Arabidopsis thaliana: one gene and its partners. The protein of the gene in region 1 purifies or fractionates together with the protein of each later gene. This does not show direct contact. Each region holds a gene or a part of one and is shown on either strand. Other genes may lie near its edges. The genes, in order: AT4G18330, AT4G39520 and EIF4E.

The links.
Region 2: the proteins of AT4G18330 (region 1) and AT4G39520 fractionate together in Arabidopsis thaliana (co-fractionation; one large-scale study listed by BioGRID). This does not show direct contact.
Region 3: the proteins of AT4G18330 (region 1) and EIF4E fractionate together in Arabidopsis thaliana (co-fractionation; one large-scale study listed by BioGRID). This does not show direct contact.

The regions. Positions count from the first base shown.
Region 1 is NC_003075.7:10,123,317-10,131,016, forward strand, and holds AT4G18330 (Translation elongation factor EF1A/initiation factor IF2gamma family protein), read left to right. Parts: upstream 1-3,262; 5' UTR 3,263-3,347; intron 3,348-3,419; 5' UTR 3,420-3,430; coding exon 3,431-3,557; intron 3,558-3,646; coding exon 3,647-3,821; intron 3,822-3,898; coding exon 3,899-4,001; intron 4,002-4,084; coding exon 4,085-4,312; intron 4,313-4,405; coding exon 4,406-4,624; intron 4,625-4,707; coding exon 4,708-5,271; 3' UTR 5,272-5,418; downstream 5,419-7,700. Other genes in the region: AT4G18320 (uncharacterized protein), read left to right, coding at 1,700-2,662; AT4G18335 (uncharacterized protein), read left to right, coding at 5,553-6,047; AT4G18340 (Glycosyl hydrolase superfamily protein), read right to left, coding at 6,929-7,003, 7,129-7,700.
Region 2 is NC_003075.7:18,368,860-18,377,539, reverse strand, and holds AT4G39520 (GTP-binding protein-like protein), read left to right. Parts: upstream 1-3,300; 5' UTR 3,301-3,539; coding exon 3,540-3,581; intron 3,582-3,732; coding exon 3,733-3,786; intron 3,787-4,180; coding exon 4,181-4,357; intron 4,358-4,614; coding exon 4,615-4,686; intron 4,687-4,988; coding exon 4,989-5,048; intron 5,049-5,125; coding exon 5,126-5,235; intron 5,236-5,327; coding exon 5,328-5,627; intron 5,628-5,710; coding exon 5,711-5,902; intron 5,903-6,002; coding exon 6,003-6,054; intron 6,055-6,160; coding exon 6,161-6,211; 3' UTR 6,212-6,675; downstream 6,676-8,680. Other genes in the region: AT4G39530 (Tetratricopeptide repeat (TPR)-like superfamily protein), read left to right, coding at 300-2,804; CYP96A12 (cytochrome P450, family 96, subfamily A, polypeptide 12), read left to right, coding at 7,069-8,595. UniProt on the Arabidopsis thaliana protein: Binds GDP and GTP, and has low GTPase activity in vitro.
Region 3 is NC_003075.7:10,014,376-10,021,267, reverse strand, and holds EIF4E (eukaryotic translation initiation factor 4E), read left to right. Parts: upstream 1-3,035; 5' UTR 3,036-3,116; coding exon 3,117-3,415; intron 3,416-3,858; coding exon 3,859-4,024; intron 4,025-4,119; coding exon 4,120-4,245; intron 4,246-4,338; coding exon 4,339-4,404; intron 4,405-4,493; coding exon 4,494-4,544; 3' UTR 4,545-4,738; downstream 4,739-6,892. Other genes in the region: AT4G18030 (S-adenosyl-L-methionine-dependent methyltransferases superfamily protein), read left to right, coding at 6,001-6,648, 6,729-6,892. UniProt on the Arabidopsis thaliana protein: Component of the protein complex eIF4F, which is involved in the recognition of the mRNA cap, ATP-dependent unwinding of 5'-terminal secondary structure and recruitment of mRNA to the ribosome.

The DNA of each region.
Region 1 (7,700 bases):
GCAATTTGAATTTATAATAATTAAACATGTCCATGTAATAGACAACAAAAGACGCTTGAGATTAAGAAAACAGTACTGAATTCTTGATTTTATTCGATAAAAGTATATCCACCTGGTCGTCACATGGTACTTGACAAATCGTGTGAAAGTCTTTCCTATCTTTAAATATGGATATTAAGCATTGCATGCTAGTGGTGGTCCTACTCTTACCTTAAAACTATATGATTTTGCCATATAAAGAAGTCGAATTTTTCATTAGTGTCAATTCTTCTTTGAACTGTTTTTATTAGAGGCAGCTGTAATTAGAAAACGTCCAAAAAGGGAGGTTCAAATTTTTTTAAAAATGTTTGTTTAGCAAATAGTAAAATGAAAAATTATACAAGAGATGTATTTTCTATTTTTTTTAACTAAAAGAGTTATTGTATTGTTACAAGGTTCAAATCATTTCTCATTAGCTGTAAATGTATTGTTACACCCAGTATTATACTCTATCAAGTTGAAGTAAAAAGAATATTTACAAGTATAAAACTATATACTCAAATATCCCTCTCTCAAGTCGAATTCTTCAAGCGGAATTCTTCAAGAAGAAGATAGTTAAATTGGTAAACGTAAGTTTAGATGTGTTGCATTGTAATATCATTATACAGCCTATTTTGTAAGTTGATGATTTACATTTAAGAGATTGTACTCTGTTATTTAACTGGCATCATCAACAATCTTTTGTTTGTTTTGTTGGAGATTGCGACATTTCCCATCAATCAATCTATCAAGGGTTTGTTGTATACTTGTATGTACAAGAGATATGTTTGACTAGGCTATCAGAAGAATTCATACGAAACGTTTTGTAGATTAGATAGAGTAAAGCAGATTTAAATGTGAGTGTCAAACGAAACTTAACTTGTGACGGTGTTATTCCAAATTTCCCAATTCAACCTTTACTTTTGTGTCCTTACGTCTGCAAAACATTATTATCATCTTTGGTAACTTCATAACATGGACTTAGGGTACGCGGAAAAAGAAGAGAAAGTGTAACAAACTTAAAAATTGACGGCTATGATCAAGTCTTAAAAAAGCTTAAGTACTTAATATAAGATTGCTTGGAAATATGGTGGCTGGAGAGCGCGTCACCATGGTGATAATGACTAATGAGATTGAAAGCACGAAATCATAATCATATTTTGTTATCTATTTTGTTGTTAATTTTAGTGGATTGTGTGTGTTAATGTATTTCTGACGAAAATATTCGTTTTAGTATACTAGCCTGACTTTTAACTTAAAGCTATGGTTCAGTTTTTCTATAAAACTTGTATTCTCTTCATTCGATCTTCCAACGCCACACATTATTATATTTCTCAAACGAAATTTCTCTCTTCAAACAAGAAATACTTAAAGACTGCTCGATCTCTTCAAAATGTATCTAAACAAACTTCCCACTCACAATTTAATATATTCTTGCTATCATTCCATAAACAGATTAACTCATTTCTTGCAATGATTTTTGTTTTTGAAAATGTAGCTAGCAACAAAACTTCTTCCATTTTTTCGTAACTCATATATATAGCTTCTGCCTTCTGCTATCAGATTTCATTTCTCTCAAAATTATTTTTCTTGGTTTCATCTCATTTTTTGGAGGGATTTTTGAGAACATCTTTAAAAAAAAAATAATCTTCCAGTTCTTATTTGTTAATTCTTATAGTTTATGCTCTCATCTCACTTCTCTCAAATTTGTTTCTCTCGCAGGGATTCATGGGGAAGTTTGCCTCAAGATCTCCTCAGAAGTTCTACAAATTTGCTTAACCCTAACTTTACCGAAGGTGGGGCACTAAGAGGTGTCAACACTCATTGGAGGAACACATTTCTTTCTTTCCGTGAAGGAGGTTTCGTAGAGGAAAGGCCGTGGTTGTTGTACCGTGAAAGGGGATCCCGAGTTGCCCATTTCTATGACCCTGTGAGAGAGGAGCTACATCATGGGAAAGACCCATATCTTGAAGGGGCCAAATTCTTAGGATCAACATTGGGTTGGGTTGTTATGTCCAACTCCAGTGCCATACACCGACGTCAAGACCACCAAGCTTTCTTATACAACCCGTTCACTTCACAACGGTACCAACTACCCCTTCTCACCACTGATAACCCATGTGTGATCCGTTACGGTGTGCTCACCGGAGATCCCCGTCAAGACAACACTTATGCTTGTCTCCTAGCCGATAGCTTTCACGAAAATAATCATATGGTGATAGCGCATATGCATGCTCCTAGTCGACAAATATATTATGTAGCCAAGAGTAACGGAGACTGGGATCAGAACTGGTCAGTGACTCGTATCCCTACCTTCAACCATCCAATTTGTGGTTCGACTATAGATTCCCTCTCCCCATCTGTGGACAAAATATCAATTATTTTATGGGGCCATACTCTTGACTTCACCTTCCGAACCCAAAATTGGAATGTCTCAAATACTCAAGAGAATGATACCATCGAATGGAATCCTTTCCACGGCCAATCTTTTGATCAGATCAAACATCGACTTCAGATATTTCCACAAACTCTAGACATTATCGGCACTAAAACTGATCGCGAGAGAGTGAAAAACCGCACTTGGGGTGCTAACAACCAAATCGTTTCTTACACTGACGGAGTTTGGGTTGAGGTTCGCGCTTAGCCTAATGTTCTACCACTTGACTCTTTAAGTTATTTCTCTGTGATTGTTTTCGTTATCTATCTTTTATTTGTGTGGTTTAAGATTTTTAGTATTAATTTCTATTTATTGTGTTGCAAACTCTACTCATTGTGGTTTCGTTAGAAACTCTACTTTGGTTTGTTTATAAAAATGCTGATCTTTTATTGTTTATTTTTACGTTAAACTTAATAGACAAACAAAGAACTCTTAATTCGGTGTACATCTCTTCGTTAATATATGTAAAACATATTTTTTTTAAAAAAATTGTTTAGCAAAGAGTAAAATGAAAAATTCTACAAAAGATGTTCTCTTATTTGGCTCCTCTACAAAAAAAACTCAACTCCGATTACAAATTCGAGTTTAAATTTACAGGTTTTCAATATTGGGCCGTATTGGGTGCTAATGGTTTTACTAATAATAAGAATGGGCCTAGTTAATCATAAGGCAATGAAAAAAAGGTTTACAAAACCCTACATTTTTTACCTTCCACGTGTAAACTTCTTCCCCAATCTTACAAATCTTTAACTGTCATCGAGCGAGCTCAACATTTTTCGGACAACAAAGTGTAAGAGACTGATTAAACAAAATCGAGACTTTATAGTACTCAGGTTTGTCGGAATCGACTGAGTATCGAAATTATTGTGGTGTTTTGTGAACAGAAACCAAGGTATGCATGAAATCGTTTTGTATATAAACCCTAATATCGATTTCAGAATTTTCATTGATCTCGTTGTTTTAGCAGGATTAAAGATGGTTCAATCTGTGTTAATTTCGCGTAACAAGGGTTTGGCGGAGCAAGATCTAACTAAGCTTGATGTAACAAAGTTACATCCTCTGTTTCCTGAAGTCATTTCTCGCCAAGCAACCATAAATATCGGTAAATTACACTCTGCTTTTGCCAGCTCCTCTAGGTCTATAGTATAACTTGATGTCAAAGAAACCAATACTGTGCTAAATATATCTCAGGAACCATTGGTCATGTCGCTCACGGTAAATCGACTATAGTGAAAGCTATCTCTGGTGTTCAGACTGTGCGTTTTAAGAATGAATTAGAGCGTAACATTACCATTAAGCTTGGTTATGCAAATGCAAAGATTTACAAGTGTGAGGATGACAAGTGCCCTAGACCAATGTGCTACAAGTGAGTCATAATCTTCTTTTTGATATAATAAGGCTAAGTGTTATTATGTGTAGCAGCAGCTAATCTGTTAATTTTAGGTCATATGGGAGTGGAAAAGAAGACAACCCAACTTGTGATGTCCCCGGATTTGAGAATTGCAAGATGACACTACGGAGACATGTCTCATGTGTCGATTGTCCGGTATTAATGAGTTTAATTTACACTTTGTCTCTCAAAACTAGAACCATTGGCTATATGTAACTGAGTTGTTTTTTATTCATCAGGGACATGATATTCTTATGGCGACAATGCTCAATGGAGCAGCAATCGTGGATGGTGCTTTACTTCTAATTGCTGCTAACGAGAGTTGTCCACAACCACAAACCGCTGAACATCTTGCTTCTGTTGATATGATGCGCCTTAAGCATATCATAATCCTTCAGAACAAGATTGATCTCATTAATGAGAAAGCCGCCACTGAACAGCACGAGGCTATTCAGAAATTTATAACGGTTTGATCAATTTTCTTATCTCTCTGTTGTTAAATCTTTCATGACTTCATCAGTTTGGTTCTCATATTTTCTGTCACATATATAATGTTGCAGAACACGAATGCTGAGGATGCACCTATAGTTCCTGTCTCAGCACAACTGAAATACAACATTGATGTTGTGAGTGAATACATTGTCAAGAAGATTCCAATCCCTGTGAGAGACTTTGTGTCACCACCAAAGATGATTGTGATTCGTTCTTTCGATGTCAATAAACCTGGCTCGGCGGGTCATGAAATGAAAGGTGGTGTTGCTGGTGGAAGTATCCTCCAGGTATGTTTTTATCTCTCTGTTTCTCCTCTGTTCTTACCTGACTGTGAAACAATTTAGTATTAATATGTGTCTCTCTTTGTTTGGGTGTTTTGAAAGTGAACCAACTGATTGAAATTAGACCTGGTATCACTGGCAAAGATGAGCATGGAAACTCAAAATGCACTCCAATTTACTCGCGTATAACTTCACTATACGCGGAACAGAACGAGCTTCAGTTTGCTGTACCGGGAGGTCTAATCGGAGTTGGAACAACCATGGACCCTACGCTTACGCGTGCTGATAGGTTGGTTGGTCAAGTCCTTGGTGAAATGGGTACTCTCCCTGACGTCTTTGTTGAGCTTGAAGTAAGTTACCAGCTTCTGACTCGTCTCATTGGAGTGAGGACAAAGGAAAAAGAGAAGCAAATGAAAGTGTCAAAGCTAACCAAAGAAGAGATATTGATGGTGAACATCGGGTCTATGTCTACGGGAGCTAAGGTTATTGGAGTCAAGAAAGATATGGTGAAACTCCAACTGACGTCTCCGGTGTGTACCACCATAGGAGAGAAGGTTGCTTTAAGCCGACGTGTCGATAGGCATTGGCGTCTAATTGGTAAGGGTCAGATTATGGCTGGAACCACCATCGATGTTCCTCCTCCTCCTTTCTAATGAAGTAGTGATGAGTTTTTTATATTGTTTGCATTCAAAAATAATTAACATGTGCCTTTGTATGTTTAATCACTTTCTTTCGACTACAATATAAAACTATATTCATATTTAACACAACATTGACGAAAATTTAAAAAACAAATTCATAATTTCATTAATGATATTACTTATCACTAATTAGGAATTATATAATTCTAATTCCCTCCTCGTTCTGAGCTTTTGTTTCATCTTTACGCTCTCTCTTACTCTCAGCCAAAACCCTATACTCTCTTTCAATCCCAATGGAAGATTTGGTTTTGATGAAACAGAGTCTTCTAAAAAGCTTCATCGTCTCTCTTATTCTCACTCTCGTCTTCCTCATCTCACCATCATCATCATCTTCGAATCAAGAAACAAGAGTATCATCAACACAAAAAACGGAAGCTTATCTCAACGGTTACGAATCACCGCACCAACTCGTCTACATCAAGAAAACGACACCGTTTATCTTGAACCAGCGGTTGCAACGAGACAACCACCGTCGTCGTCGTTACAATCACCAATACTACTACTACTATCGACATACTCTTCGTCATCGCCGTGGTCTTCATCATCGTGCTGGCTACTTCAAGATGATGGCCAAGAAGAATAACGGTTTAAACCGTCCGGTTCGACAGGATACTTTCTCGGTTATGCTTCCCAAAGGATTCGTACCTCCTTCCGGTTCATCTCCATGCCATAACCAGAACCCTAATTCCGCTACTACTCTCTTTTGCGATCTTTCTACACAACCCTAGATATCGTTGCCGATACGTCGTACGTGAAACGATTTTGTTCCTCTCGTCGCACTTTTGTATTTTTCATCTTTTAAAGATTTTTTTTTCTTTTTTGTTCGGAATGACCGGTGCATTGATCAGTGCATTTTTGACGGTCAAGTGTATGAAAATAATTTGCATACTAATGTTTGATTGTTCGTGTCCTTTGATTTTTCAGAAAGTACTTATTTTTCCTTACGTGCAGCTGAATTATTTTATTCTATAAAACTAAACTTGACTGATCGGTAAAATAATATATGGAGAGAAAAAAGCATATGTGTCTATGTTTTCAAGGTCAAAACGCATCGTTTGTGGCAAGAACAAGGGAGTATATTGAGCCGATATAATTGGAAATGAGCATGTGAATTTGCATCGTGAGCATAAGCTCTTGTTTCATGGCTTTTTTTTCTTAGCTTCAGTTCCAATTCTTCGTACCGTCCACTCCAATGCATATGTTTGCATTCTAATATCTATATTATATAACTAGCTAGGGATTGTATTTAAAATATCCAACAACATATACAAATGAATTAAGCTATGCCATATTTCTTGAATTAGAGGGAAAAAAATATATGGTTGATTCTAAACCGCTACTGGTTATCGATTATATGCCTTTTGGTCAAAGTTACTACTTACTCAAACCTTTTCATATACGACAAGTTTTTCTTAAAAAGTAAACTTTGTTTCTTTATTATATATGTCAATTACTTGTTAACGACAACAATAAATTTAGAATTTTCACTATTGACCGACTTCATTTGAATGTTGAATTGAATATAAATTATATTTATCAAGCTTATAATTAAATTGTTTACATAAATATCCTAAACAATCGCGTTATTATATTGTCAATAACTTTTCCTCTAAAATAGTCTCAACATTACAACTTGAACCATCGCCAATATCAAAATTGTCCAATACTCCAAGCTCCTCTTTGCCTGAAAGAAGAAGAAAACAGAGAATTAATTCATTTTGCACATCTAGTCCTTTCACAAACTTATTCTCGTCGTGGCCCCAATAATTCCAAATTCTAACAAAATTCACCACATAATACTAATCGTACCTTAGTGGCAGAGGATGAATAAGTGACAGATTCTGAATTTGCCGTCGTTGTCGACATTGTAGAGAATCCCAAATTGTAAGCTAATGATCCATCTGGTTGGAATATACCGTAGTTTTTCTCCGAAGTAGGACCTGGTTTCATATCTTCATTGAACAACGCAAATATATAAACATCGAGTCTTGCATTCCGTCTCGCTGGAGTTCCTTCTCCGGCGAATTGCCTCATCATAAGATTCCGGTTATACGTGGCAGCATTCACAGGAGACGCTCCAATCTCTCCGACATCTCCTTTTGAAGGCCACCCTGTTTCCGCAACCCTAACTTCTATGTTACGGTACCCTAGTTTCGCAGCCGCGAAAGCAACTGCGTCAACTTGAGCATACATCATGTTGTCGTAGTGTAGTCTTGTGTTGGGATCGGTCATGCCGATGTTACGGTTGAATAGAACGTAATCGACTGGGATTTCTTGTGGGTTATCTTTGTAGGCAAAGTAAGGGTAAGCATTTATCCAAAAAGGAGATTTCGTGGCTTCCAAGAAATCTAGAAGTTGTTGCATCACGGAGGAAACCTCCG
Region 2 (8,680 bases), 8.2 Mb from region 1:
CGTCCAAATAGGAATATTGGTAGGTGAAACGTGGAATTAAAATTCAACATATGTTGCTAAAGGATGGCCCACGCAATGTAACATGCCGGGCCATCAAAATCTACCGTTCTTGTTTTTCGACCAAACCTAACCAAAAAACTTAAATCATCCAATATCATCAGCCACCTGTCGTTTTGATGTTTGGTAGTATAACTGGTTGCCGTTTTATTTATTAGTTCCATCACCCTTTCTTCGCTTATGACAAAAAACGGCAGCATGTTTATTCGTCACAGCACGCTCTGTTCTTCTCACTCAGGAGGATGAGAAGCTATCGCTGTTGGCGTAAAGTCCAAGAAACCATACGTTTATACTCCTCTTCATCTTCTTCTGCTTCAAGTCTTTTGGAATTTGTAAACGCAGATTTTCCTTCTACGATAGGAATCCGAGGAAGGCGCGAATTTGCTCGTCTCTTGCAGCTGCGTGCGTCAGATGATCTGTTGCATTATCAAAATGTAGTTCATGGTCAGATTATTGTTTGGGGCCTCGAGTTAGATACGTATCTTAGCAACATTTTGATCAATTTGTATTCGAGAGCTGGTGGTATGGTTTATGCACGTAAGGTGTTCGAGAAAATGCCTGAGAGAAACTTAGTTTCTTGGTCTACCATGGTTTCAGCTTGCAACCATCATGGGATTTATGAGGAATCTTTGGTGGTTTTCTTAGAGTTCTGGAGAACTAGAAAAGACAGTCCGAATGAATATATTTTGTCGAGTTTTATTCAAGCTTGCTCAGGCTTAGATGGTCGTGGGCGTTGGATGGTGTTTCAACTACAAAGTTTTCTTGTCAAGAGTGGGTTTGATAGGGATGTTTATGTTGGTACCTTGTTGATTGATTTTTATTTGAAGGATGGTAATATCGATTATGCGAGGCTTGTGTTTGATGCTTTACCAGAGAAATCTACTGTGACTTGGACGACCATGATCAGTGGGTGTGTAAAAATGGGAAGAAGCTACGTTTCATTACAGCTGTTCTACCAACTAATGGAAGACAATGTTGTTCCAGATGGCTACATCCTTTCGACGGTTCTAAGTGCATGTTCAATACTTCCGTTTCTTGAAGGTGGGAAGCAGATTCATGCGCACATCTTAAGATATGGACTTGAGATGGATGCCTCACTGATGAATGTGCTTATAGATTCTTATGTGAAGTGTGGCAGAGTTATAGCGGCTCATAAGCTATTCAATGGAATGCCGAATAAAAACATCATTTCGTGGACCACTTTGCTCTCTGGTTATAAGCAGAACGCTCTTCATAAAGAAGCCATGGAATTGTTTACCAGTATGTCAAAGTTTGGTTTAAAGCCGGATATGTATGCTTGCTCTAGCATACTCACATCTTGTGCCTCACTTCATGCTTTGGGATTTGGAACACAAGTTCATGCTTACACTATCAAAGCCAATCTTGGCAATGATAGCTATGTGACTAACAGCTTGATTGACATGTATGCGAAATGTGACTGTTTGACCGATGCCAGAAAAGTTTTTGATATTTTCGCTGCTGCTGATGTGGTTTTATTCAATGCAATGATTGAAGGTTACTCGAGACTTGGGACACAATGGGAACTACATGAAGCATTGAACATCTTTCGTGACATGAGGTTCAGATTGATTCGACCTAGCCTATTGACTTTTGTTAGCCTTCTACGTGCATCTGCTTCTTTAACAAGCTTGGGACTGAGTAAACAAATCCATGGATTGATGTTCAAATATGGGTTAAACTTAGATATATTTGCTGGAAGCGCTTTGATTGATGTTTACTCAAATTGCTACTGCCTCAAGGATTCCAGGCTTGTGTTTGATGAAATGAAAGTGAAAGATCTTGTTATCTGGAATTCTATGTTTGCAGGTTATGTTCAACAATCAGAGAACGAAGAAGCTCTCAACCTGTTTCTGGAATTACAGTTATCAAGAGAAAGACCTGACGAATTCACGTTTGCCAACATGGTTACAGCAGCTGGCAACCTAGCAAGTGTTCAATTGGGTCAAGAGTTCCATTGCCAGCTTCTGAAAAGAGGCTTGGAATGTAATCCGTATATTACAAATGCTCTACTAGATATGTACGCCAAATGTGGTAGTCCCGAAGACGCTCATAAGGCTTTTGATTCAGCAGCTTCAAGAGATGTAGTTTGTTGGAATTCTGTCATCTCATCTTATGCGAATCATGGAGAAGGCAAAAAGGCTCTTCAGATGCTTGAAAAAATGATGAGTGAGGGAATAGAGCCTAACTACATCACCTTTGTTGGAGTTCTATCAGCGTGTAGCCATGCTGGTCTTGTAGAAGATGGACTTAAGCAATTTGAGTTAATGCTTCGATTTGGAATTGAACCTGAAACTGAGCACTATGTTTGTATGGTATCTCTTTTAGGCCGTGCTGGTAGATTGAACAAAGCAAGGGAGTTAATTGAGAAAATGCCGACAAAACCAGCTGCTATAGTATGGAGGAGCTTGCTGAGTGGATGCGCAAAGGCCGGTAACGTCGAGTTAGCTGAACATGCTGCTGAAATGGCTATTTTGTCTGATCCCAAGGACAGTGGATCGTTTACTATGCTTTCTAATATTTACGCGTCCAAGGGTATGTGGACTGAAGCTAAGAAGGTGAGAGAAAGAATGAAGGTTGAAGGTGTGGTGAAAGAACCTGGACGTAGTTGGATTGGGATTAATAAGGAGGTTCATATATTTTTGTCTAAGGATAAATCTCACTGCAAGGCTAATCAAATTTATGAAGTGTTAGACGACTTACTTGTGCAGATCAGAGGAGTTAGTTAATAACTACCATACAAGAACTCATTTTCTATTGGAGTGATGGACTCTATTTGGTTAAAGACCAATGCAGCAGATGAAGCTTAAAAGCGAGCCAAAGAAGAAAGAATAAGCCATGGTTAATATCGAGAAGCTGAAGGGGTAGCTAGCTCAGGAGAGCAAAGATGTTGCTATTAAGTTTTGTAATCAAGGGAAAATCGATTCTGTTCCGTTCAAATCCGAAGGAAGACTCAAAAATTAACCCCGGTTCAGTTCTCAGTTTCTTCTCATCATCTCCTAAAACCGGGTTGAGAGAGAAGTTGTAATGGTGAATGCATGAATGGTATGTTGTACATGATTCATTTGAATTTAGTTAAACCGTTTTTGAAATCAACTAAAACCGAAAAACACCAATTCAAAACAAAACAAAACAAAAATTCAGAACAGGGTTTATTGTATATAACCAAACTAAATTCTCATTCTGTTGTAAATTTTATTAAACCGGAAAACCAAATCGGACATATATGGGCCTAAAATGTTGTTGGGTCAGGCCGAATTCTAGACAGTTCTGTTCTAGTTTTTTCTCCTTTGTCGTAATCAGGTGGACGAAACGAAAACCCTCGGGATTCCTCTGCTTCTGTCTCGTCCGTCGTCGTCAATTTCTCTGCATCAGAGATTCCGGTGTCCTTCTTCCTTTCACTCGCGTATAACCTCTTTTCCTTGACGTTGTCTCCGTGAGCTCTCTGTGCTTTGACTGCAACCATGTCGACTATTATGCAGAAGATCAAAGAAATTGAAGATGAGGTAATTATTCAATCCTCTCTGATTCTTCACCTCTTCTCTTCAATTTTGGATGCATAGAACTGTGAATCCGAAATATCTATTCTGAATCAAAGAAATGATTTTTCAATCTGGGTGACTCACAAGTACGAGGTTTTTTTTGTTTATGTGGCAGATGGCTAAAACACAGAAGAATAAAGCTACTTCTCATCATCTGGGTTTGTTAAAGGTACATTTTTTCTCCTCTTTAGGTCGTTTTTTGTAGCTTTGAGAGTGAGGTTGATTGGTTGAGGTGTTTTTGCTTATCAAATGCAAATTTGGTTGATTGGTTTATATCTGTTTTGATACTTGATAAAAGCTATCATGAAATCCCAACCAGTAAGCAAGCTCATTAAGAAATATTTTAACTTCTGGTTGAAATCGTTTATGTTTTATACGAACTCCCAAATCATTGAATAAGCACAAAGCTGAGATATTTTATTTACGGCATGATCTCTTGTGAAGTTCCTTGGATCAAACAACTACTAGGCAGGCATTATATATTATTCTGTATTGATTTTAGAATTTGGTACTTATTCCTGCACCATTAGCTTCTCGTCATATTTCACTGGTCCATTTTGCAGGCCAAGCTTGCTAAGCTTCGGAGGGACCTTCTTGCACCGCCTACCAAAGGTGGCGGTGGTGGTGCTGGAGAAGGTTTTGATGTGACTAAAAGTGGAGATTCTAGAGTTGGACTGGTCGGATTTCCTTCGGTTGGAAAATCTACGCTATTAAACAAGCTGACTGGGACATTTTCCGAGGTTTGTAGTTATCGTTACGAATATTGAACTTCCTTTCTCTTGTTGTAATTGGAATTTTGAAACCTACCACGTATCCATGGCATCCTATTTCTAGTTACTTTTTGACCAACTTCCTGTGCAATATCACTTATAAGGCAAGACTGTTCGGCGCTAGTCTTTTCCTGGATAGATGAACATAAATCTTGGAATTAGAACTGTATTTTGGCTGATACTCAATTTTCTGAAGGTACATACTGTGATACACAATGTTTTCTCAGGTTGCTTCTTATGAGTTCACGACTTTGACATGCATTCCTGGTGTTATCACATATCGTGGAGCTAAAATCCAGGTATGGTATCTACATCTATGCGTCTGTGTTAATCTGTTATTTGTGGGGGAAAAATGATAATTCTTGGATAGTGTTTCCTCTGTCTTGGTAATTGTTGAAACACAATGAAATCCTTGGCTACATATGCCATGTCCTAGCTTGTAATTATCTTTTCTCGAGTCTTACTTCTATATTAAACATGTATCTTGCTTGATCTTTTAATGACTTCTTGGTACTTAGTTTAAGTCAGGAAACGACCTGTAATTATTCATTGGACACTGATGCTAATACTCTTTTTTATGTCCCCTTCTATGTGTTTGCAGTTATTAGATCTTCCTGGTATTATTGAGGGTGCTAAAGATGGAAAAGGTAGAGGAAGACAGGTAAGTCGAGTCTAAATCTCTTGAGTATTTTATATTTTGACCCTCTTTGATCATCTTTCACACTTTACTATTTCCAGGTTATAAGTACGGCTAGGACATGCAACTGCATCTTAATAGTTCTTGATGCCATAAAACCAATTACTCACAAGCGTCTCATTGAAAAAGAGCTCGAAGGATTCGGAATAAGGTATAGATTGTTTATATAACAACCTTTATACACTGTATATTTGATCGTTTCTGGTAGATAGTCTGACTCGATCATGGACTGTTGCTATGTAGGTTGAACAAGGAGCCACCAAATTTAACATTTAGGAAAAAAGACAAAGGTGGTATCAATCTAACTTCTACAGTCGCTGTCACACACCTTGACCTTGACACCGTCAAGGCGATTTGCGGTGAGTACAGGATGCACAATGCTGACATCACCCTGCGCTACGATGCAACCGCTGATGACCTCATTGATGTCATCGAGGGCAGTCGGATTTATATGCCCTGTATCTATGCTGTCAACAAGATCGATTCAATCACACTTGAGGAACTTGAAATTTTGGACAAACTTCCTCATTACTGTCCTGTCAGGTAAATGTTGTTAAATTACCGGCAGGATTTGCGATAAACTTGTTTACTTTTGCCATTAAGATATAAATTTATTTATCTTGCAGTGCGCATCTGGAGTGGAATCTTGATGGACTTCTGGACAAGATATGGGAATACTTGGATCTAACTCGAATCTACACAAAACCAAAGGCAATGAATCCGGATTATGATGATCCCGTAATCTTATCATCCAAGAAGAGAACAGTAGAGGACTTCTGCATCCGGATTCACAAAGACATGCTTAAACAATTCAAGTAGTAAGTAATTAAAATCCTTAACATTTTTCTTTTCTCTGTTATATGGTTCTTGCTCAAAAGCATCGCTCATGAATACTTAACTAATGATCTCCTGATACAGCGCTCTGGTTTGGGGTTCAAGTGCCAAACACAAGCCACAAAGAGTTGGAAAGGTTAGTTCTTCTAGCAAATCAAACAAAAGTTAATCTGGTAAATCGATATTGCAATATCCCTGACTAACTAACTATTGCTGTCTCGACATCGTATTTTATACTTCAGGAACACGAGCTTGAGGACGAGGATGTTGTTCAGATCGTTAAAAAGATATGATTTTTGCAGATAATGGAGAGCAGTCAAGAGACCAACCAAAGTAGCCATAATGAGATCTCCTATAGGAAGGTCAGGATTTCTTTTGGTTTCTCAGCTTTATCTTTCTTTTGTAATTGTATTATTATATCCAGACGAAATCTGTGTCTACACCCTTTTTTATGTCTTATTAGATACTTTTGTCTTCTTCCAATAATACTATTAAGCATGTGATTGATGTTGTCGGAACACCTCCTATTATCTCCAGTATGGGTTTGCCTAGATTTTCTCCTCCCTTGTTTTTATGTATGCAACTAGACTTTTTTGGATTTTATTTACTAAACATATGATTCAGTTTTTCTTCATGTAATAAAGAAAAACTGTTAAAACGGCCTTCATTGCACTGACCAGGTCGAGGTGTTATTATTTCTGACAGTTAGTTGTTACTTGGACTGTTGATTAAATTTAATGACATTAATAGATTTGGAAAACTATTACAACGACCTTCGTTGCAGTGTCTGGGACCGTGAATTCTGATGCACTTCTCGATTTGTCTATCCTCTTAAAGTTGGTTTGTCATTTAGTGTCTGAAATTGTAAGATTATGGACCCTTCTTTACAAGTCCTCCACCAATTCTGTCTCATCCATTTGTGTGGTTAGTAGCTTCACCAGCTTAACACTTTCACTAATCTTAATTCTTAAGATATGAAAAGCAGTTGAATGAATGCATTGGTAATTTCTTTCTTTTTTAATAAATTTTCTTTTTGTTGGTTGCTAATTTATATATGTAATAATCTTACTCTATATAAACAAGTTCCTTCAACACACAAAAGGAACCACCACCATATTGTGTCTGTAAACCAAGCTCCTAACTCTCTCATATGGCTTCTGTAAGCTTACTTGACGTTGCCATAGCCATCATTTGCCTTTTCTTCTTCTATTACATGTACTTCAAGAAACCTCATGGTCAGGTTTTTCGAAACTGGCCAGTTATTGGGATGCTTCCAGGCTTCCTGATGGTTCTCCACCGCATCTACAACTTCGGCGTGGAGGCTCTTGAAATGAGCCACTTAACCTTTCTATTTAAGGGACCGTGGTTCGCTGAAATGGATATGTTGTTCACAGTTGATCCAGCTAATATTCACTACATATTGAGCTCAAACTTCTCCAACTATACCAAAGGTGCCGACTTTAAAGAAGTCTTTGATGTTTTTGGAGAAATGATCTTTAGTTCGGACTCGGAGCTATGGAAGAATCAAAGAAAAGCTGCTCAATTCATGCTTAATCATCAAGGCTTTCAAAAGCTATCATTGAGTGCAACGAGGAGTAAGCTTTACGATGGTCTTGTTCCTCTTTTCAATCAATGTTGTGAGGAAGAGAAGGTCGTGGATTTGCAGCAAGTGTTTCAAAGATTCACTTTTGATACAACTTTCTTTATTGTTACCGGGTTTGATCCTAAATCTCTCTCTATTGAAATGCCGGAAGTGGAGTATGCTAAAGCTCTTGACGATCTTGGAGAAGGGATTTTTTATAGGCACATTAAACCGAAGTTCTTCTGGAAGCTGCAAAACCGGTTTGGGTTAGGGCAAGAGAAGAGGATGACTGAAGCTGATGCCACTTTTGATCGCGTTTCTGCGAAATACATATTAGCTAAGAGAGAAGAGATAAGGTCACAGGGGATTGATCATCATGCAAATGGTGAAAGTGAGGATCTTTTGACATCTCACATAAAGCTTGATACAACCAAGTACGAGCTCTTGAACCCGAGTGATGATAAGTTCCTCAGAGACACCATCTTAGCTTTCAATCTTGCTGGGAGAGACACAACGTCTTCTGCTCTCTCTTGGTTTTTTTGGCTTCTCTCTGAAAACCCTCAAGTTGTAACAAAGATTCGTAAAGAGATCATCGACAAAAATATTTCAAAAGACGGAAGAAATGGCCAAGAGAACTTAGACAAGTTGGTCTACTTACATGCGGCGTTGTATGAATCAATGAGGCTCTATCCACCGGTTGCCTTCCAACGCAAGTCTCCTATAAAGCCAGATGTGCTGCCAAGTGGGCATAAGGTAGAAGCAAACTCAGTCATCATAATTTTTCTTTTCGCGTTGGGAAGGATGAGAGCGGTTTGGGGAGAAGATGCAACAGAGTTCAAGCCAGAGAGATGGGTTTCTGAGTCCGGTGGGTTGAGACATGCACCTTCCTTCAAGTTTTTATCATTTAACGCCGGTCCGAGAACTTGTCCTGGTAAGCAATTAGCTATGACTCTAATGAAGACCGTAGTTGTGGAGATATTACAAAACTATGATATTGATGTTATCAAAGGACAGAAGATTGAGCCAGAACCTGGTCTTATGTTGCACATGAAGCATGGGCTTAGAGTCACAATTACTAAGAGATGTTCAGCTTGAAATTTGTATGTATAATGCTTAAATTAATCCTTTTTCCGTTGAAATAAAATCTATCGGAGATAGATGCTATAACAAAGGATTACAA
Region 3 (6,892 bases), 110 kb from region 1:
GTATTCACTTATTATGTTCTAGTTTTGTTTTGTTTTTGGTGTAAATGTTCTACTTTTGTTATTAAGATGGGAAGCTAAAAGCCTAAAAAGTACACGTATAATATAATATTGATTGGTCTTTTTTTTTGTCGGCATATTAATTGATTGGTTTAGAGTTAACAAGAATCATATTAAAAATAATTTAGTCATATGGATTAAGGATAATCCTTAGTGGAGAATCAAACATCTTTATATCCGCAAATTTGTGTGAAAACTTGCTTTTGGAAAAGATGGTATATATGTGTATAGTTGATAACTTATAAGTGTTCTCTAAGTATTACTCCATTTTTCATAATAAATGTTGTTATATACTTTAACAAAAAATATTTTTCAATGTATATTTTAAAAATTAAGTTCCAAACTTTTCTGTTTAATTTTTGCTTTCTTAGTTAATGAAATAAAATGAAATTGCATATCATAAATGTTAATTATAAGATGAATTTATAGTTTTTAATGTGTGAAAATTGTATAAAATGTGCATAATGAAAGGAAATGAGTAATATAAATCATGTGGTGTACGATATATATCAAAGAGAAATAATTCTTATAATCAAACAACACTTACTTAGGTATATATCTCCCAAGCACGGGCCATACGGATAGTTCACCGCTCATTGATAGATTCAAGCTATAATTTTAGTTGTTGTTGTGGCATAAAATTTTCTGGCATCGAGTTGTTGTTATGAGATAACTTCAAACAAATATAAACACCAGATAAGAGACAAGTTTGCTTCCTTGGGCATCATCATTCACCAATGATTACGTAATCAGTGACAATTATATTCGAGTGAACTTAATCAGTGACAATTTGATGTGAAATGATTACATGTATAGCGCATAAATGTTCATGACAGTGTCAAGGAAAAGAAAACCCAAAGAATATAGTGATTAATTTATATATTTTTGATAAAAGTGATTAATAAAAAAAGATGAAGCAAAGTATGCATTAACCTTGTTTTCCATTTCCTTTAAATTTCTTTTTACAATTTAAATTATATATACTCTATGTAAGTCTTACATATCTTTTCATAAAAAGAATGTACATCAATTATGGATTCAAATTTTCTCTGTTCTTTGGACATGTTTTGTAAGTTTACTTTCTTTTCAAAAGTAAATATTAATGTTAATTTTTTAAAAGTTGAAAAGAAATTAAAAAGAGATTTTGATTCTAATCTTTATAGAATAATGGGAGAAACGATGACGCGTTATGCAATATTACCATACAAGTCAATTCATACGATCCAAACTCATCATTTATCAATTATCACTTGTGTCGTCAATACCAGTCAGGCAGTCACTTCTAAACTTTACAAAAAAAAAAAGAAAAAAAAAAACTGTTGATCAGTTCTTTACTACAAAAGAAAACGTCAACTAGCGACAAACTTTGATCTATCGACCATCATTAAGCGCTCGTTGCTAAACAAAAAAGTCGATAGATTTGAAAAATCTCCCGTATATAAAATATGTTGATAAATATAAAATAAGTTTATTTGATTCATTGCATGAGCCATGATTAACGTCGACAACCTTTTTCTTTCTTACATCTGCTTAAAAAAAAATCACACGCACTGAGAAGTTAGATTAAGAATGGTTGACAATTTATTTATTTTTGGTATAAAGAATGGTTGACAATTTATTTATTTTTGGTATAAAGAATGGTTGACAACTAAAGCAAACTTAAACTTATTCTTTTCGAATTACGTATGTACTATCATTATAAATATATTCTCGAATAACTCATATCAAATATATATTTGAAACGTGTATAACTAACATTCGAGATTCTTGGTTTGACGGCATATAGACAAGCCATGCAATTATGTTTTTGCAGCGAATCAAATAATCTTATTTCTTATAAAATCTAAAGAATATATAGCATAGAAATGTAAACAAAAACCAAACTCTATATTTATAGTCTCTCCTGGTGTCGAGAATAACTTTTTTGAGTATATTCTGCACAATTAGTTACTACTTACTAAGTTACTAGTGAGTAGTGATGCACAATAAACAAATTCTGACAGTTAATGGAATAGAACCAGCTTCACTTAGTTATACGTCTCTATCAACTATGAAGTAATAGAATACATTCGACTGCGAAACATTATGAAATCTTTTTATTTTCTCCTTTCTTTCGTTTGACCGATAAAACCAATGGAATGAATATAAGAAATTTCGTTTTGTTTCTGTACGTGGTATATCCACTGATTTAAACTTTTAAATTTACATGCACGGAACTTAAACACAATTGTATATTGTTTAGATTTAGAATATAATCCAGTTGTCTTGTTGGTCTAACATATTATATATATTAATTAACCCAAACTAGGTACATAAACAATTTAATATCTTAAAAGAAATACTATTATGGGGCGGCAGGCAGATCACAACCTTTAGAAATAGAAAGGTAAGACAAACTCACTTATATAGTCAAAAGCTATTAACACTTCCATAAGATATAAATCTCTCAAACTTTTGACAGTCTACAAAATACTTCACATTTTCTTAATAATCATATTATATGCTTTTGTGAAAGCATATAAAAACCTGATCATGTTCGTTTTACAGTTCTGACAATAACAACATGTTTTCTTAACTTTTTTGTAGCTGCTAGCGATCAACGACCAAACTAACGAAAACAACCAATTCTAAAGTTTGTTGTTTGTTTATGTGGTTAGTAATTCAATAATCGAATTTGGCAACCAGTTTTGGTGACTGATTTCATCAACTAATGACTAAAAATTCAGTCTATAAACATTTTCACGTTTCATATTTTGAATTAACGTTAATCACTAAAATTATTTGATTTTTTTGAAGACTACAAAACAAACATAATTTAGTACATGTACTTCAAACTAACACGACCATTAGAAAAACCTTTAAGAGCAAAAAGAGCCGGAGACAAGTTAAAGCCCATAATAGTTGTTAAGTTATCTCTTCGGCCCAAAAAGAAAAAAGACAAGAAGTATGTAATTAAAACGACGTCGTATCATAGTTAACCCTACGAGAGGAAGTACATTAGTTTGGAGAAGAGTAATAGACAGAGAGATAGAGAGAAAGAGAAGCAGTTCGGAGAAACAATGGCGGTAGAAGACACTCCCAAATCTGTTGTAACGGAAGAAGCTAAGCCTAATTCAATAGAGAATCCGATTGATCGATACCATGAGGAAGGTGATGATGCCGAAGAAGGAGAGATCGCCGGAGGAGAAGGAGACGGAAACGTTGACGAATCGAGCAAATCCGGTGTTCCTGAATCGCATCCTCTGGAACATTCATGGACTTTCTGGTTCGATAATCCTGCTGTGAAATCGAAACAAACCTCTTGGGGAAGTTCCTTGCGACCCGTGTTTACGTTTTCAACTGTTGAGGAATTTTGGAGGTTAGGTTTTTGATTTTATTTTATTTCCGACTCAATATCTGGTTTGTTCAATTATTCTGCATCTGGGTTTTGTTATAGGTTTCGATTTGTTGAGGAAAGTTATGTTCTTTATTGGGGGATTAGAAGATCCCATTGAAGTCATTATATGTTTTTGATGAATTGCTATGTTTGGTGTTTGAATTCGTAGCTAAAGCTTATGTTAGGGTTTAGCTTTGATATTCTGTTCACTTGTTTGTGAAGTAAAGTAGAAGAGCAAAGTTTGTGAGAGAAAGAGACCAACTTTGAAATCTTTCTTAGTGGTTTTCTAGGTATCAGAATTTGAGCAAACACTTTCGTGATGACTGAGGGTTGATGTTGTATAGTTCTTGCTCTTCCCAATGAGATTCATAGGTTTGTGTATTGTTCTTTCGACTTCTTATTTTAAAAGACATTTTGGTTTGCAGTTTGTACAACAACATGAAGCATCCGAGCAAGTTAGCTCACGGAGCTGACTTCTACTGTTTCAAACACATCATTGAACCTAAGTGGGAGGATCCTATTTGTGCTAATGGAGGAAAATGGACTATGACTTTCCCTAAGGAGAAGTCTGATAAGAGCTGGCTCTACACTGTACGGTTTCTATTCTTCTTTTATTTTGACTCGTAACTCCTGCGTCATCATCCAATTGAATCTCACCGGTTTTTCTTTTTACATGCTTGGTTTAGTTGCTTGCATTGATTGGAGAGCAGTTTGATCATGGAGATGAAATATGTGGAGCAGTTGTCAACATTAGAGGAAAGCAAGAAAGGATATCTATTTGGACTAAAAATGCTTCAAACGAAGCTGCTCAGGTAAATAGAAAAGACCTTTCTCATCAAAACTCATCAAACAGTCTCTCTGTGTAAAAATAAGACTTTAATTCTCGTCTGCATCAAATGTTGCAGGTGAGCATTGGAAAACAATGGAAGGAGTTTCTCGATTACAACAACAGCATAGGTTTCATCATCCATGTAAGAAGAAAGCTTCTCATAATTCTAATTCAAAAGTCTTCATTTTCTTCAGATCTCTCATTGTTTGGTTTGGTTTCTTTTTTTTTCAGGAGGATGCGAAGAAGCTCGACAGGAATGCAAAGAACGCTTACACCGCTTGAAACCTCTCAAATCTTTGCATTGTTTCAATTACAGTTTTGTATGTGAGAGATCTCTATTTATCTAAACATGACTTGACAGTCTGTCTTTGCTAGTGTTGATTGTTCACGAAGCTCTAACATTTCATTTAGTAATATATTAGTATGGTTCTTCATAATATTTACGTTGGTGCCCTTGTATAAAACCACCGGAGTGAGCGCAAGCTTTACAGACAAACAGTGCTTCTGTCTACCCAAGGCGGGCCTTAAAAGCCTGAATAGTGTATATGTTTACTTGACAAGAGCCCATGTACACTCATGAGCGATTGACTTTAACCGGTTTTAGAGAAAACTACTTTTACATTGTCACATTTACATCCTTTATAATTAACCTTTTAATTTAGGTTTTAAAGATCCACCTCAGCATTTATTTTAATGGAATGATTATTTAGCAGTGTGAACCGATTAACTCGGTTTTTGACGGTGACCGGTTTAGAGGAAATGGGAGTGTCGGTAGGAGATCTAAGTAGCGAGTATGTAAATTGTCCAACTGTCTGAAAAGGACCACTTGGGACGACAAGATTCTTCGGCTAATAATAATACATCACTCGTTTCAACAAATAAAATTTTCCTTTCTATTATTATGCAATCTTATAGCATATGGATTTGATCTTTTTTAATATATAAACAAAAGGTTTTCCAATTATGCTAAACCATAATCTGAAATTGATTTTAAATAGCTACAATCAACTACCCAAAAGCTTCAAATATGCAAAATAATAAAGTATAGGTTTATATATATAAACGCACACAAAAGAGGTTGAATAAAAATAAACATAAGGATGCATGTGCAGTCCAGATTAGATCTAAATCTATTGAGTATTGTAATAATATTGTTATGAAGATCTTGCTGCGAAACTACACACATTTAATTCCAACATGTTTTGTTTATAGAAATTGAATAAAATCAAACGCGCCTTCATCTTCAAGTTAAAAATCAAATCTTAATTAGTGAAGACAAAGAAGAAGAAGACATTATTTTAAGTGAGTTCTCTCTCTGTCACACTCACAAAGCTTTATACTTTCTGGCTACTGCAAGCTCATCACTGAAAAGAGCTTAAACCAGAGAGATCTGATAAGAGAAATTTTAGAGTCTCTCTGCTTCAACAAGATCTACATCGACCAGGTTCAATATTTTTCTCTACTGTTAGTTCGTGTTCTAGCTCTGTTTCAACGAGATCCGATTCTGTGTTTTCGATTTCAGTGCTAAAGTTACGGTCTTTGAATCTTTCTATGTTAGGATTAGTCTTTTGAATCCATAAACTCTAGATTTCAATTGTTAAAGGCTAGGTTTTGATTAGTTTGAATTAGCTAGATCCTTTTTTAACAGATCTTGATGTTTAAGCTCAAAGTTGTGTCGTTATACTGAGAATCAAGTTTGTGATTTGTTGGGAATGGTTTCAGGAGATTAGAAAGAATCATGGGTTCTAAGCATAACCCACCAGGGAATAACAGATCGAGAAGTACACTATCTCTACTCGTTGTGGTTGGTTTATGTTGTTTCTTCTATCTTCTTGGAGCATGGCAAAAGAGTGGGTTTGGTAAAGGAGATAGCATAGCTATGGAGATTACAAAGCAAGCGCAGTGTACTGACATTGTCACTGATCTTGATTTTGAACCTCATCACAACACAGTGAAGATCCCACATAAAGCTGATCCCAAACCTGTTTCTTTCAAACCGTGTGATGTGAAGCTCAAGGATTACACGCCTTGTCAAGAGCAAGACCGAGCTATGAAGTTCCCGAGAGAGAACATGATTTACAGAGAGAGACATTGTCCTCCTGATAATGAGAAGCTGCGTTGTCTTGTTCCAGCTCCTAAAGGGTATATGACTCCTTTCCCTTGGCCTAAAAGCAGAGATTATGTTCACTATGCTAATGCTCCTTTCAAGAGCTTGACTGTCGAAAAAGCTGGACAGAATTGGGTTCAGTTTCAAGGGAATGTGTTTAAATTCCCTGGTGGAGGAACTATGTTTCCTCAAGGTGCTGATGCGTATATTGAAGAGCTAGCTTCTGTTATCCCTATCAAAGATGGCTCTGTTAGAACCGCATTGGACACTGGATGTGGGGTAAGTCGATTTCTGTTTGATCTAGTAACATATCTTATTCATTTCTTAGATTCTTATTGATGCTAATTTACCATCTCTAGGTTGCTAGTTGGGGTGCTTATATGCTTAAGAGGAATGTTTTGACTATGTCGTTTGCGCCAAGGGATAACCACGAAGCACAAGTCCAGTTTGCGCTTGAGAGAGGTGTTCCAGCGATTATCGCTGTTCTTGGATCAATCCTTCTTCCTTACCCTGCAAGAGCCTT